Linked DNA regions of Saccharomyces cerevisiae S288C. Changing the gene in region 2 together with the main gene of any one other region gives a genetic interaction. Each region holds a gene or a part of one and is shown on either strand. Other genes may lie near its edges.

Evidence for each region. Genes that interact genetically often act in the same process or in processes that back each other up.
Region 1: mutations in RCI37 (region 2) and SLZ1 together harm fitness more than expected from each alone (negative genetic interaction), as found in Saccharomyces cerevisiae (one large-scale study listed by BioGRID).
Region 3: mutations in RCI37 (region 2) and TCP1 together harm fitness more than expected from each alone (negative genetic interaction), as found in Saccharomyces cerevisiae (2 studies listed by BioGRID).

What each region holds. Positions count from the first base shown.
Region 1 is NC_001146.8:268,654-274,632, forward strand, and holds SLZ1 (Slz1p), read right to left. Parts: upstream 2,519-5,979; coding exon 1,622-2,518; downstream 1-1,621. Other genes in the region: mRNA-binding protein WHI3, read right to left, coding at 1-940; YNL195C (uncharacterized protein), read right to left, coding at 2,870-3,655; YNL194C (uncharacterized protein), read right to left, coding at 4,057-4,962; YNL193W (uncharacterized protein), read left to right, coding at 5,715-5,979.
Region 2 is NC_001141.2:214,491-217,690, reverse strand, and holds RCI37 (Rci37p), read left to right. Parts: upstream 1-1,737; coding exon 1,738-2,700; downstream 2,701-3,200. Other genes in the region: SEC28 (coatomer subunit epsilon), read right to left, coding at 143-1,033; threonine--tRNA ligase THS1, read right to left, coding at 2,988-3,200.
Region 3 is NC_001136.10:884,012-890,532, reverse strand, and holds TCP1 (chaperonin-containing T-complex alpha subunit TCP1), read right to left. Parts: upstream 3,302-6,521; coding exon 1,622-3,301; downstream 1-1,621. Other genes in the region: UPC2 (Upc2p), read right to left, coding at 1-782; GCD6 (translation initiation factor eIF2B catalytic subunit epsilon), read right to left, coding at 3,668-5,806. UniProt on the Saccharomyces cerevisiae protein: Molecular chaperone; assists the folding of proteins upon ATP hydrolysis. Known to play a role, in vitro, in the folding of actin and tubulin. In yeast may play a role in mitotic spindle formation.

The DNA of each region.
Region 1 (5,979 bases), on a different chromosome or scaffold from region 2:
CAATATCAGATGTTTGAATTGTTGATTCCACAGACAAATCTTGATGTGAATGGTTAGAATGTAACCCAATAACCTGGCCTTGAGAAGATAACGGTATTGAAGAATTCACTTGTTGTTGATTACATTGTTGTGGTGAATGTTTTTGCGTAGAGTGTTGTTGTGGCTGTTGTGGCTGTTGCTGCTGCTGTTGAGATTGCTGTTGGCTTAAAGGAGAATCATTGGAAAATGGATCGCTGAATGAAAACCTGGATCTTTGTGATAACAGACTTGGCCTTTTCATTCCCGAGTTCGATTTATTCAATCTTGAGGTGTCATTGAAAATGGCAGATGATGGGAATGAAACCAAGTTTTTTGTTGTGTCATCTATTATTTCAACGGTTGTTTTATTGGGAAAACTGGGTCCAAAGAGTTCATTTTTCGAATTCAAAATAACGGCATAATTAATAGCTAGATTCAATAACTCAAATCTGGCAATGATAAAAATATCATTCTCGTCTTCTAATGAGGCAGAAGTGATGCTTGATGAAGAGTTTTTTTTCTGTAATTCTATACTTTTCACACCTTCAGCAAGAGCGAAGATTGCATAGCATTCTCTGAGAGTAATATCCTTGGCTACATTTGACAATTTTAGGCTGTAGCTCCCCTTAATGTTGTTATCGTGATTGCTAATGTTGCTGCTTGCAATGTCTTGGGGCATACTTCCAAGGGCAAGTGTGTTTAGCATAGAAGATATCGCTAAGGGTGAGTTTGTGTCATTCAAATACAACTCCCCACTTGCGCTTCCTCTACCCGACGCTTCGTGGGGATGAGAAGTAGTGTTCAGATTCAAACTGGAACGATGACTGGGAGAAATGTTGTGTGTGTTGGTGGTACTAGACACAACGTTGTCGCTACTGGACGCAAATGACCCTGTTTGGTCAAAATAAACTGAACTTTGCATGCTAAGAGATACAGGTTTTTCCCTCTGAAATATTGATCGATAAAGGCTGCTCTAGGTAAGTGACGCTTACAAATATTTGCAACTCACAGAAAAGTGATGACAAAGACTTTTAACTTGAAATGATATGATCAGTTGAGAAAAAGCTGGTGAAGCAAATGAAAAATACGGGAAGAAAACAGGAACAGAAGGTTTTCAAAGTACACGACTTATTTTCTCTTTAATGCTAATTGATTGAATAAAGAGAAGACAGAAAGGAAACTGACACGTAAAATATGTGGACGGAATAAACAACTGTGCGTGAGCAGCGTTTCAAAAGCCTTTTCTTTTTGGAGGTCTGTGCTTGTTTAAAGAAGGCAATTCAATCAGGTGGTTATACTTGTTTATTCCGGCTTACTTGGTCGTGTTTGTTTTTTCTTTTGACCTCTCATGTCCGAAAAGGTCCAAAACAACGAGAAAAAAAAGCAGCAATCAGTTACCCCATTTAACGCGGGTAACAATAACGATTGTTCTAAATAGAGCAGATATCCAATAGTTGAGAACATGAAGAAGGATGGCGATAGAATCAGTGCGAAGCAGTCTAAAGAAGTTCCTTTCCCTTTCCTTTCCTTTTATTTTGCTAATAGTATTTGATATAAAGATGAAATACTATAAGAAGTTTATAAATTTTTTAAATTAGAAAAGCTAAATAGCAGCTTGATCGCAACAAGTGGGGAATTCTGACCAGCGCGACGCTTGTTGCATGGTTATTCCTGCATCTGGGACTGGTTTTTCATCCATACACAATCTTTCAAGCCCGATGGTGACATTTTTGACCTTGTTTGAGTATTCCATCTCTTGCTGCAGTAGCTTTTTACCTCTCTCATGCAGACCATTAGATGATGCAGATATGTTAAGATCTTCGGTAATTAGCGCTACTGAATTGAAGGAGGTTATGTCGTTGTAGTTGATATTATATTTGGGATCAGGAACTGATGAGACCGTAGTCGCATTACTGGTCGTGCTGCAGTTTGACCAGCGTCGTTCCCAGGAGGTGAACTCCATGTCTTGAAGGACAAACTGACTATCTTTCGAGACGTCGAGGACGTTATCATTGAAAAGTTCCGTGAGTTGGACATTAAGAGGACTAGATGTTTGAATAGCCTGATCTATCATGATCTTGGACACGGTTTGATGGTCTATGTCAAAATCTAGTCCAGTCTGTGGTTTAGGTTTACCATTTTCAGCTGCTGTGTTCTGATTAATGGCTTCTGAATTCGGTTCTTTGAAACGAAATTCTTTTGCCAGTGATAATTTTTTCTGTTCTTTTAGCCTTTTGTCTTCTCTTTTGTAGTTTTCTTTTTCTACTTCTTTTGGCTTCTCTCTATCTTTTCTACTTGTATTTTTTTTTTTGTTTTTAGCCATTTTATCTAAGAACTTTTTCCTTTCTTCACCAAAAGCTCTCATTTTATCCTTTTCCCTCTTAGTATCTATTTGATCAACATTTCCACCTTTTGATTTATTTTTCTTTACTTGTCGATCTTTTGGTAGTTTCACTTCGTACTTTTTGTAACCGATGATTTGATCTACTTTATTCATCATAACAGTAATATATTATGTTTTTGATTTTTACTATACTGATTAAGGTAGAAAATGGGACGATCTTGCTTTTTGTGTCCTTTCATTGAAGCACTGTTATTTATACGGTCAACTGCAGCCGGGCATAATTTCGGCGGCTATTCATATTGTCATCCCCGCACTCCTTCTTTGACAGCACGCAAGCACATGGAGGCTGATAATGCCCTCCCATATTGTAATAGAATATATTTATGCAATAAAGAGAACGCAATAGCTGCATTTAACCAATAAAAAATTCGTTATGACAATAATATGTAGACAAGGATATAAAAGTATAAGGTTGGTTATAAATAAAAACTGTAGGAAAAACAAAAACTACTTATGCAAGACCTTATTCTCAGGGTGCGAAATACTATGATCAGTAGCGTTTAGAACGTTAGCCGAAGGATTAGTCTCATCCATAATTTGGTTTCTTGGGACATTGTGCCGATCACCCACACCGTAGGCGTAGGTTTCCTTTTCCTCAGTTTCCTGATTGAATGATGGAATACTTGCGGGATATCCCTGCACTTTAGTGGTGTAAGAAGAAGCAGAGACGCCGCTATTTTCTTCTCTCATCATTTTCTCATTGTACCTGTCTGAGGAAGCCGTTTGGGGGTCCATCATGTCTTGGTTGTTATTATCGGCACGGCGAGAAGAAACGCTGTTCCACGCGTCGATGTGATGAGGTTGACTTTGAGGTGAACCTGCACCGGGAACATGTTGGTCGATAGGCCCATTGAAGTGCGGATCAGAGGTGTCTTGACAACCAATCGGCACGTTCTTGCTGTTCATTCTTGCCTCGGTCATTTTACTACTATCAAAATTGGCTAGCGTAGACCTAGCGTTTTTGTTATAGTCACTGACCACTCTATTTGTGACTTTGCCACATCCCGGGATACCGATGCTACCGGCACCGGTGTTTAAAGTAGGGCCTGGGCATTCAGTTGGTAAAATTCCAGAGCGCTGTTCGTGAGACGAAGAGTGTCCGTCACGATGAGGATATTTGAGGTCGCTTGCCCTGCCACACCCTGGAACGCTGTACGTTTTATCCTTTGCCTGGTTCATATTGAGAGCATCATCACTTGCATATGCTTGAGCAGATTGGCCCAAACCCAGCATCCTGTCATAAGATTTGTCAATATGGTAGCCGAAGCCGTGCTGTGTAGCAGAAGACTCTTGGTTTGTGTCTAATTCATTGCTGTCGAAATAGTGAAAAGAAAAGAAAAAGAGTTAGTAAGATGTGTATGATACATTAAAAGGAAGTTAAAATACGATTTCTTTTTATTAGATGGTATCATTACATTGTTTGACGTATAGTATTAGTATTATTAGAGGTTGAGAATTAAAGATATTATATTTAGGGAAACATAAAAGATTAGTGGAATATCGGTGCAAAATATTAGTAATAAATAAAATTGGTATCAACAGAGAATAGGAGAAGGCTAATCGCTGCAATTAGGTTTGTTATTATTTGTAATCCTAGCTTTAATAATAAGGGAAAAAAAAGCCTCCTTTGCACCCTATGATACAACAGGAACATTCTGTTCAGTATAGACGCGTTCCTCTTGAACCCGGTCTGGTTCATCGCCTGCGCTAGTCACAGTTCTCTTTTTCGTTCTCAATTTCTTAAAGAACCTATGATTCTGGTGGGATTGAGATTGTTGGACCTCAGTTACAGGCACCGAGGAAGGTATTCCTCCATTTGTTGGAACTGGAGTTGGAGTTTGTGAGTCCACTGTCTTGGTAGAAGCGAAACTGCGGTCATAGATGTACTCGTTTCTTTTATGAGTAGCCACCATGATAGTACAGCAAATGGCGTTTACAATTAACAAAAATACTGTGGTCCAAATAAGCCCAAAATTCTTGGGACCTAGTCTAGCATCACGATTCTCATGGTGAAACGCCTTTACTGCCTTAGCGTAACATCCTGTGTACAGACAAGCGGATAGGGTTATGAAGAAAAGCGTGATCCAGCTCATTGCAGTTGCCAGAGCGGCGGTACGTCTATTGTATCTGATTAAACTGGCAATAACCGAAACTAACGTGATTAACAAAAAGAAAAGCCCGATTAGAAGCATTGCCCAGCCCACTCTTGAAAGATAATAGTAGGCATTTCTGTTGTTTAAAAAAGTTGAGGGCATGAGGGGGGAACTGCCAAAGTTGTCCCTTGGTGAAAACGGCTGAGCTGCCATCTTAGAAGAGCAGTTGACTGCTATTCCGCGGCTTTCCCAGCCGCACCAGTTATAATTGTACCATCTGGTTACGGAGGGCGCCGAGTTAAAGCCCGAAGTGGATGCCTGAAACCAATAAAAATTCTTCAACACTCCTGTGGTCCTGCCACCTGCTAGTATCAGAAAAAAAGTCAACAATGTAGCCCCTAGTAGAAAGAAAAGGTTAATAAAGTACACAAACTTTTTGTAGGACATTGATTATTAGAAACGGAAATATATGAGGTTATACTTAATGCTTATCGTGATCGCAATACAAGTAATTGTTTATGGTTGTTTGAAAACCCTAGAAAAGTGGCTAATTTCGGATAAGAATTACAGATAGGATCTCTAACATAATATAAGTTGTTAGGGTATTTAGCTAATGTTTTTATATCGAAAGCAGGGGATAACAGCGGAGACAGAAAACAGGGAATAGTGATCTCATCTTTCCATCCGTTCATCCCACTTTTACGTCCTTGTAAATAGTACAAACTGCGGGTAGTAATGCAAGATTTGATGATATACAGGGTGCTTTTGCATTGCAACCCCCTCCCTTAAAAGACGCTGGGGAGCAATTTTGTTCTAGAAGTCCCCTCTTTGTCGTCTTCCCAAATCCGACTTGTGCGGCTGTGCGGCTGTGCACTTCAGGGGGTGTCCTTGCCGTAATTTCGAGGAGTCTTTGTAAGTGATTAATTTTCTCAAAAATTCAACGTATGAAAAGGTGATAGTTTCGGCATCTGCGATATTCTTTTGGACCAGTTAGTGATGACGAAGGCCCTTAAGATTATGTTGGGAGCCAAATTTTCGTAGTTGCATACGTAATTTTGAATTTGATTTGCTTTTTTTTCTTTTTTGCCTTGGCTTTCCGTTGATGCGGATTCTTGAGAGTTCTAAAAGTTTATGTATACAAACACCGCATTGAATGCTTCGCCTCTTAAGCAGACAACTAGAGTATTGTAAACCAGGTAATGGGACCTCCGAAAAATTTCAAGCATTTCAGTAAGAGTAATAAACACAAAAAGGAGCAGAAAGCCCTGATTACTCAAGAAGATTTCTACCTGGCAGCGATCGACTGTGAAGAACAAGCAGACCGTTGGTTGCTATCGGACATAAAGAAATGTTTGCGGTTCTATCTAAAGGCTCTAGAGCACTACGAAAATGGTCTGACTGCTTTAGATTCCACGCAGGAAGGGAAATATAATATCTATTATAATGAAACAAGGCTTTTTTTGC
Region 2 (3,200 bases):
ATATGATTTTGTTCAAGCCATGTCAACCTCATTTATGGTACCATCTTATTCGGCTTTATCAAAATAGTATATAGGCATATACATGAAATATTTTTTTCTTTTTCTAAAAAACCTACATGTTTAATGTGAGATATTACGTAAATCAGTTGGACGTATCATATTTCCTCACTAATTCATCGAATTTTGCGTCAATTTCTTGGTGATGCTTGATGAATGCATGTTCGTGATCCAATTTAACCAATTGATTTGTTAAATCTTCAGTATCAAGACCTTGCATAAGAGCAAGCGTAATTTGGTTTGCTAAGAAAGTAGGTTTGTACAATACGGCGTTTTCTTTTTGTTCGACGCTATAGTAGTCAGATAGTAATAGCTCGACAATACCCTGAGCTTCAGCTATGTTTCTTTGCTGTAAATGCAAATTGAGCAATCCCAATTGAGTTTTCCAAGTAGGAAAGGTTTGAGATAGCTCTTCATAGTAGTAAAAGTTGGATGTTGCCGTTTCTTTGTTTGTGGCAAATTTAATGTACGATTCAGCCAGGTTTAAAATCATTTCGTTGTCACCGGAAACAGTATCCTCAATAGCATTAGTGTAGTTATCAAAGATGGTGGACGCGGTCGAAACGTTGTTGTTTAACAAAGCGACTTCGATGGCAAGCAGCAATAATTCTGTAGTCCCTTCTGCTTCGTCATTGTCAATCCCTTCTACACATGTCTCCAAACTTTTATCTAAGTCACCCAAGATAGCTTGAGCCGTGGCTAACAGATATAATTCATATGGTGAATTCTGTTTATCCTTTAACAAATTTTCTAATTCTTCAATGTTTTTTGTATCTAAGAACTGGACGTACAAGTCTAGTACCTTGCCAAGCTTAGAGGTAGGATCTTGTGATTGATATTGGCCTAGAGCTAAAAGGGTTTTCGCCTTGTAGAATAATAAGGTGTTATCTGTGACCTTGCTAAACTTCTCTATTTCCTGCAAACATTGCACGAAGTTCCCCGTGTAGTAATTCTGCTTGATATTAAAGTAATCCATGATTTTTTGTCTGTTTCTATGTTCTCCACCGAGTTCTTCACAATCCGTTCTTATACTGTAGCTTGACGTGTTTTTCTGTAGAAACTGTAGTTTTTCGCTTGACAAAAAACTGAAAAAGAACCAACAAAAAATTAAGATCACCTTAAAAATTAAAAATAGAATATCTTTATCCCATTGAAGACGCTGCATACGCACCTATACAGCAAGACAAAAGATTTTATACAACATTACGGTTCCAATTGAATGTAATGTTACTATATAGTGTGGACACTAAAGAGTGAGATCAGCGGGCGTCCTGATCGTTGCGTTGGAGCCATCTCCTGAATTCCATTTTAGCAACTATTGTTCCGGTATAACCTCTTTTGCAGCCTAGAATGTTGTGAGTACTAAGACAGATACCATTTCACCAGCTTGTGGCTCCCAATTCTTTGACATCAGCAGCACGCTGCTACAGTCGATCTTTGACGAGACGAATTTTAATAGCTAGCGTAACAATCCGTAACAGGAAATTTCGTTCATAGTTACTTGTTTATACATTATTTCCTTCTTTTTCTGTGTTTTTATTTCCGCGGGTGTAAGTCAAGCAAGGGTGAAAGCCTTATGAGCTAATGCTACTTTGACGCAGAACAGAACTTTTTATGTGTCAATGCTTAATATGATTTTCGTTTTAAGGAGCAGCCTAATTTCAAGCGTAGAACAAGGTGATGTTGGGAAAAGAAGAAGAACAGCAATATGGCCAGAATGGTAAGGGAATGGAAAATGAACTACCCTTTATGAAGAGGCCTTGGTTTAAAAAGGCTTATGAAAATGCTATTGAATTTCATGAAAAAGACGAATTGCTGGATGCAAGAGACAGGCTGGAGTTATCGAAGGCCTATAGATCCATTGCTAAAGCTGAGATGTGGGGTGGTTGGCTTGGGTTTTCAGCTGTATTTTTAACTCCATTTGCCTATCGTTACTACAAGACCAAGGCTATTAAAGGTGTTAAGGTGCCGAGGAATTTTGTCTTGGGTGTAATGGCTTTATTTTTTGCTACAAATTTTGCTGGTAGGTCCATGTATACACGACAGTTGAACGAACGTGACCCCACAGGTGTTTTGAAGGATAACTATTCCAACAAATATGGTGACAACGACTTTGGAGCCTTTCAACATGATCAAACAAAAGAAATTCCGAGAAATCAAAGGCAGTACAATATGATGCGCTTATTAGATTCAGGCTCCCCCTCAAGGTGGTCGATGTACTTTTACATAACGTACCAAAATCCGGAGAGAAGATTGCCAGACCCGAAAGTCAAACTGCAGCAAATGAAAAAAGGCGGAGTTTTTAACGGCTCGCCCTTTATGAACCAAAGGGATCCTATAGGATTGTATCGTAATAAGGGTAGAAAATCTCCTGACCCAATTGAAGGAGAGCAAAACGACAGTCCTGTTCTGTCTTCCTGGGAAAAAATCAGGAACGGCGACAACAGTTCGTCTTCATCATGGGAAAATATAAGGAACACCAGTAGAGATCAGTCGCAGGAATCAGATGCTTCAGTGGATCATGAATCCGATATATTTATCTCAGGATTTTCTGACGATGGTAATGCTACCGATAATTCCTCTTCTGATGACAAATATCAGCGTTTACTGCAGAGCGGGAGATATGGTGGGAACCGCTCCTAGACGACGGAGTAATAATAGCGTATGGTCACTAATTTGTATATAGGTATATGTTTGGGCCAAATTCGGCGGGTTCCTGAATTTGTTTTTATATATTCGTAACTTAAACACTGCCGGTGAACACCATCTGCATACCAAATTGCTTTCTTCCATATTGAATTCGCGCACATCTTATCGAAGGAAAAAAAAAGAAGAAATAGTTAATAGAGGTAAGATTCCTTCATCATACTCATTTTATTCTTTACAAAACATAAATTAAATAAGTCAAAATTTAACTACATAAAATCTCATTAAGCTAAGACGTTGTCACCTCTCTTTTCATCTTTCAAGTTACGCAACTGTTTCAAAACTTCTTCAACAGAAACAGTAGCATTTTTACCCTGTTGTTCCATAACGTCTCTGTTTCTAATGTTAACAGATTTTTCATTCATTTCTTGTTCACCAACAATAAAAATGAAGTTATATTTTAGCATTTGCCCGTTTCTGACCTTCTTTTGCAGAGT
Region 3 (6,521 bases), on a different chromosome or scaffold from region 2:
AATGCAGGACTACCCGCAAGATCGAATGAACCATATCTCTCGTTTGGAGTTCCACTTGCTTGCTGCGCTTGGGTCTGTGGTTGAGATTGCTGCTGCACTTGCTGCTGTTGCTGAAGTTGGAACGCACCCATATTTCCAGAAGGCAATGGCGGTAATAGTAAGCCATCGATACCTGAATTCAATCTTTCAGGAGAACCAAAACCAATAGTGCCATTTTGAGAGAAAAAGTTATTCATCATATCTTTCTTATTGATGGTACCCTGGAGGCCCATACTTAGAGGAGTCATATTGTTTTTGTCCTCTATAGGGGCCGATGACTTTTCCTCGCTCTCACTCTTAGTTGTAGAGGCGCTTGATGGAAAGGAATCATTGGATGAGCCTGAAGCTTTTACCGCTGATTGGATATCATTGAACGGTGTCTGCTCCTTCTTGATCGTAGGAGGTAAATCTACCGATGAATCAGACTCCACGCTACCGTCTGCCTTTCTCGTGACATACTTCACTACTGTTGCTCCTCTACCTTTCCTTAAATGGATTGGTGTATACTGACATTCCAACTTCATATTTGTGCACTTCCTACAGGCTGGCTTCCCTTCATCACACTTAACTCTTCTTCTTTTACAGTTATCGCACCCATTCTTTGATTTGTTATGGAATTTACGTTTACCGGTTGAAGTCGTACTCACCTTTTTGCCGTCCACTTCAATTAGCTCGATGACTTTTTCTCTTCTTCTGGGTTTTGTCACCGCTTTCTTGTGATTCTGTATACCGACTTCGCTCATACTGCTGAACTGTAAATATTTGTACTTAACTTTTTTTGATTCACTATTTCTGGAAAGCTCAATTTTGTTTTAGTGTTGGATAAATGAGAAAAGATAGTTCCTACAACTTCAAAAAGTTAATGTATGTAAAAAATCGCTGTTTAGAGGAACAGTCAGCACTATCGCACCCTGAAAGCAATATCAATCTTTGACAAAAGAAGTGTCTACTTTCTATGCCGCGACTTTCCAAGTAACTTGTATTTGCTGATCCTGCCAGGGCGGCGCATATATAGATTTCGACAAGCACATTCACTGAAGACAATAGAATAATATTCGTTGGGCGAAAATTTGACGCGATCCCGCTAAGGTGCGCTCGTTTAGAGAAAAAAATAGCTTGGAAAAAACCTTATTTAGCTGCCACATTTAGACAGAATAACACAGCCACTATGGGAGATATTCACCCTGGGGATCATGTTTAGAAACAGGCTTAGCAGTAAGCGCAATTGAATTCATGGAATACACTCCGCATTCTTTTTTATTGCCGCCTTACTAAAATGTAACGCTAGCGTTAAGCTTTTTTCCTTTAACAGGGTTCCTGCTCGTTTACGAACAAACACAATAGTTTGTAGGGACCCGCTTCTGCATTTGGACAAGAAAAACAACTCAACGAAGTCCTAATAGGTACGCGTTATTACGTATTAGTCCACCTCGCACGTGAAAAGCTGGGAAGCGCTTATCAACTGCCCAGAGTTAGCGATCAAATTCAAAAATAGAACTAGCTGAAAAAAATATAATTAAATTTTATATAGGTTTATTAGTTTACATGCAGATACAGAATCTCGTTCGGATTACGCAAAGAATCAATGATCGTGCGGATCTTCTTTGGGTGGTTCTGGATCCACTGTAATCATTGTATCAATTCTTAGAATTGCTACACAAGCCTCCAATGCTGATTTCAAGGATTTGACTTTGCTTATGGTTGGCTCAAGAACACCAGCGTGAATCTCGTCCACAATTTTACCTCTAATCAAATCTAGGCCGTAATTTCTGTAGCTTCTCCTCTTAACGTCCTCTGGCTTGGCCATTTGACTAGCGGCATGGTAGGACCTTAATTTTGCAACTAATTCACTAGAATCCTTGGCAGCGTTAACAGCTAAAGTTTTTGGAATGATTAATAATGCAGCTGCAAACTCAGCAATAGCTAACTGTTCACGAGAACCAACTGTGGTGGCAAAATTGTCCAAATAGATATTCAATGCGGCTTCAACGCAACCTCCACCGGGGACAACATTTCCACTTTCAAGCGTTCTTTTGACAACAGAAAGAGAATCGTGCAAAGAACGTTCCATCTCATCTAAAGAATAATCGTTGGCACCTCTTAAAATGATCGAAGAAGATGAATGTTTAGAAGTACCCTTAATTAAGATACACTCATCATCAGAAAATTTGGCTTGAACTACTTCATCACAAAGACCTAAATAACTGCTTTCGAAAGTTTCCTCACCTTCTAAGTTAGACATAGAACTAACCAAAGTGGCGCCTGTAGCGCGTGCAATTCTTCTCAAATCTTCCTTCTTACAGCGTCTTACACCCATTATCTTAGCTTCAACGAACTCCTTTAAGCATAAATCATCAATACCTTTGGTGGTTAACACAACTTGAGCACCAGCATCAATGATCTTCTTCACTCTTTCCAAAACAATACCAGCTTCACGTTTACGGATTTGCTCCAATTGTTCCGGATCATCAATGTTGATTTGAACACCCATTGCCATACGAGCTTTCTGCAAGTTCAAATCCAAACATGCGATTTTCACATTGCCACCGGCGATACGTTTAGGCATTGCTTGAGAAGCAACTGTACAATTCAAAGCATAACCTGGCACCAACAGTGATTCAGTGGCAGATTTACCATGAGCTTTCAACACATTGACAGCCTTTACGGGATACTTGATTTCTCCTTTGGAATTTTGCGTCTTAACAGCCAAAAGAGCATCTACAACCATATTGCTGAAAAAATCAGAGTCAGCACCAATGATCTTAGAGGACATACTAGTCTTGGCTATATTAATTAACGTCTCTTTCCCTAAAGTGTCAACACTTGTGGAAAGAACTTCATTTATAAAACGAATAGCCTCTCTTAATGCAACCCTGAAACCAGTTATGATGGTAGTTGGATGAATCTTATTTTTGACTAATTCATTAGCTCTTTTCAACAACTCAGAAGCAATAATAACAACACTAGTAGTACCGTCACCAATTTCTCTGTCCTGTTGTTGAGCCAATTCTACTAAAATTTTTCCAGCTGGATGTTGAACATCTAACAAAGACAAAATAGTGGCACCATCGTTGGTGACGGTAAAATCACCAATGTCATCAACAAGCATTTTGTCCAGTCCAACGGGGCCTAAAGATGACTTGACGACGTTAGCCACAGCCATAGTAGCCAAAACATTCTGATTACGAATATCATCACCACTTATTTTTTCACCTCCTAGGAAAAGGGTATCTGAGCGCGAGTTATTGAATAATTGGGACATCGCTAAGTTATTACAAATATAAAAGTCTTCTGTCTATTGTTATTGTCCCTTTCTTGTACTCTCTCAGTGGCCTCTCTTTTGCTTAAGTTATTTACTCTTCATGTGATACCACCGCATTTCAATTTTTTTTTTTTTCAGTTCTTTGCCACTTAGGACAAGGTCCCTCGGCAAGTGAAAAAAAAAAATCTGAGATTATTATTTCAGTAGTACTACTGAGGATAAAAACTAATATGATAAAAAATATATATATATTTGCTTTTTGCTTCTGTAACATGTAAATTACTAAATCTATATAGCGCTCACCTTTTTCTCATATTAAAGCCTTTTTATGGTAATACATGATTATGCAGGGTACTGCGTGGACTTTTATTCCTCTTCTGAGGAAGATTCTTCGTCAGCATTCTGTAACCACTCAACCCACTTTACAGTTAATTTCTTGACTTCATCATAGCGAGGGTCAGTAGAAACATTATCCCACCATTTATAAATGACATCCTCCTCAATTATGTCATTATCGTATAGAGAAACCAATGCACTAAATAGAATCAAATCCGGTTTGTCAAAACTCTGTTCTACAATTTTTTCCATTATGATGTTCATCAAATCAATATACTCTTCTTCATCAAAGGCTTGTCTCTTGAACAACAGTCCCCACTGATTAAAAACCTTCACCACAGCGTCCTTGGGACCTAATGTTTGAGTTGCAATAAAGTGGTAAACTCTTCTCAATAATGCAGTTATTGTTGCTATTCTCACCTCATGATATGTCACGTTCATACTCATTCTCAAGGTGTTCAATTCTAATAATGCTGTGTCAAGATCATGATTGTTTTCCATAGCACGCTCCACGGTGGCAATACCTTCTTTCTCAAAATCTTCGTCCTCAAATTCAGAATCAATTTCTTCTCTATCCGTGTATATACTATTGACAGACATCGTTCTTCTTTTCTTTGTCTTTTTAGTGGCGGAAGAAATTGAATCGTCACTTAAGTATAACTCATCTAATTGGTTACTCAAAGTGTTTATTTCTTTGCAGGCTTCTGTAGAACTATCTTCATCGTCAGACACCTCGCTTTCGTAAATATAACCAACACCCTTATCTCCAACAATAGAAACGGCTAGTGTCTGATCATCAAGGTCTTGGTCAAACTGCTCATTGCTTTCATTATCATACATTCTTGAGCCGGCATTTTTTAATGGACTGGCAGATATTTTTGTGTTTCTATCTAAATCCATATTATCATCAATTTTAACGTTGAAACCAATTATACAGCCATCATTTAGGCGTACATTACTCCCTAACGTGGCATTAGAGGCAATTAATGAATGGTCAATTATACTGTTATTTCCGATGATACAGTCATCCCAAATGAAACTGTTCTTGATTCTAATATTTTCACCGATTTGGCAGTTCCTTCCAATCACGGAATTCTCAATTTTCGTACCCTCTCCGATTTTTGTTCCTGATCCAATTGCAGTGCACTTACCAATTTTACAGGATTGGGCCAAAACAACGTCTTTTTCCTTGTATATATGTCTTGATTCATAAGAATACGTTTGATCGTCCTGTATGTTAGAGTCTAAGACCAAGGGATAACACCATCTACCTAAAAAGTCTTGAGAAATGGTGTCGTAAGTTTGCCAACTTTCAACTCTTACAGCATATTCGTCCGTCAAATAGGCATATATATGCTTTCCCAATATATCGCTTGAAATGACACCTTTAACAAAGTCTGTCCTTAATGATTGGTAGTCAAAATTTTCTTGAAATATCAAAGGTACATGAGATGTACAAATGTCAATTCTACAATCGATGAGGTCATTCCTTATGACAAATTCATCGACATTATCCAACAATTCTGGGTCAATCTGAATGGAAGTCTTCTCTCTAGAGCTTGGTAATGGTAAATCTTGGTAATAAATACACCTACTGGTGGATTTGTCTAAGACAAATGCGGCAGGCTCAATAGTTCTTGTTTTTGGATAGGTACTCGCTTTGCTCAAACACATTGTCGAGATGTGATCTTTATCTTGCAAATGCATTTTTTTGTGAAATTCTAGCATTTTGCTGAAATCGATGTTAGTCAATACATCACCACTGACTAAAATAAAATCTCCAGTAATGATACCTCTATTATCTAGATCTCTCATAACATCACCCGTACATCTAGCTTCTGGAGACATAATGGTGGTAATTTTAAATGGAGACCAAGGCAAGTTCCACTTAGAATTCTCAATATAGTCATTAATTTGGTTGGCATGAGAAGAGCAAATTAAGAAAACTTCATGTACGCCAGCCTTAGCCAAAAATTCTAAGGTGTATTCAATGAGAGGTACGTTAGCCAGTGGCAGCAAACACCTTGGCTTGACAGCTGTCAGTGGCATAAACCTAGTTTCATAAGAGTCTGTCAAGACAACGGCCTGGAGACGATCTTCAACATCCATATCAGAGTTCTTTCCATGGTTGCCTAGTCCACTTTTCTTTTGTCCCTTTTTTCCAGCCATCTTTTGCCTTATGAGTGGTTTCTATTCTATTTTTAACACAAGACCACTTTTAGTTATTTTTATACTTATCCCACAAGGTGGTCCATCTGCCATCTTTGAATTGGTGATTTAACTCTTCGCATTAATCTACTGAAAAAAAAAAAAAAAAAAAAAAGAACTGAAAACCATCTAAAGTCAAATAAGCTCATGTAATACGGGCATGTTGCAAACGCGTGTGAAAAAAAAAGAGAAAGTGCTCGAGGTGGGGTTTGAACCCACGACGGTCGCGTTGCTTTTAAAGGCCTGTTTGAAAGGTCTTTGGCACAGAAACTTCGGAAACCGAATGTTGCTATAAGCACGAAGCTCTAACCACTGAGCTACACGAGCATTTTCGAAAGAGACGTAAATAACATTGTTATTTATACTGGAATTAGTACTAATAATTTTATTAAAAAAAAAAATAGCTCTTTCTGAGAATTCTTTGAATTTTGGGAAAATTGTCGGGATATTAGTGTTAAAGAGGCCATTGTTGGAATAAAAATCAACTATCATCTACTAACTAGTATTTACGTTACTAGTATATTATCATATACGGTGTTAGAAGATGACGCAAATGATGAGAAATAGTCATCTAAATTAGTGGAAGCTGAAACGCAAGGATTGATAATGTAATAGGATCAATGAATATTAACATATAAAACGATGATAATAATATTTATAGAATTGTGTAGAATTG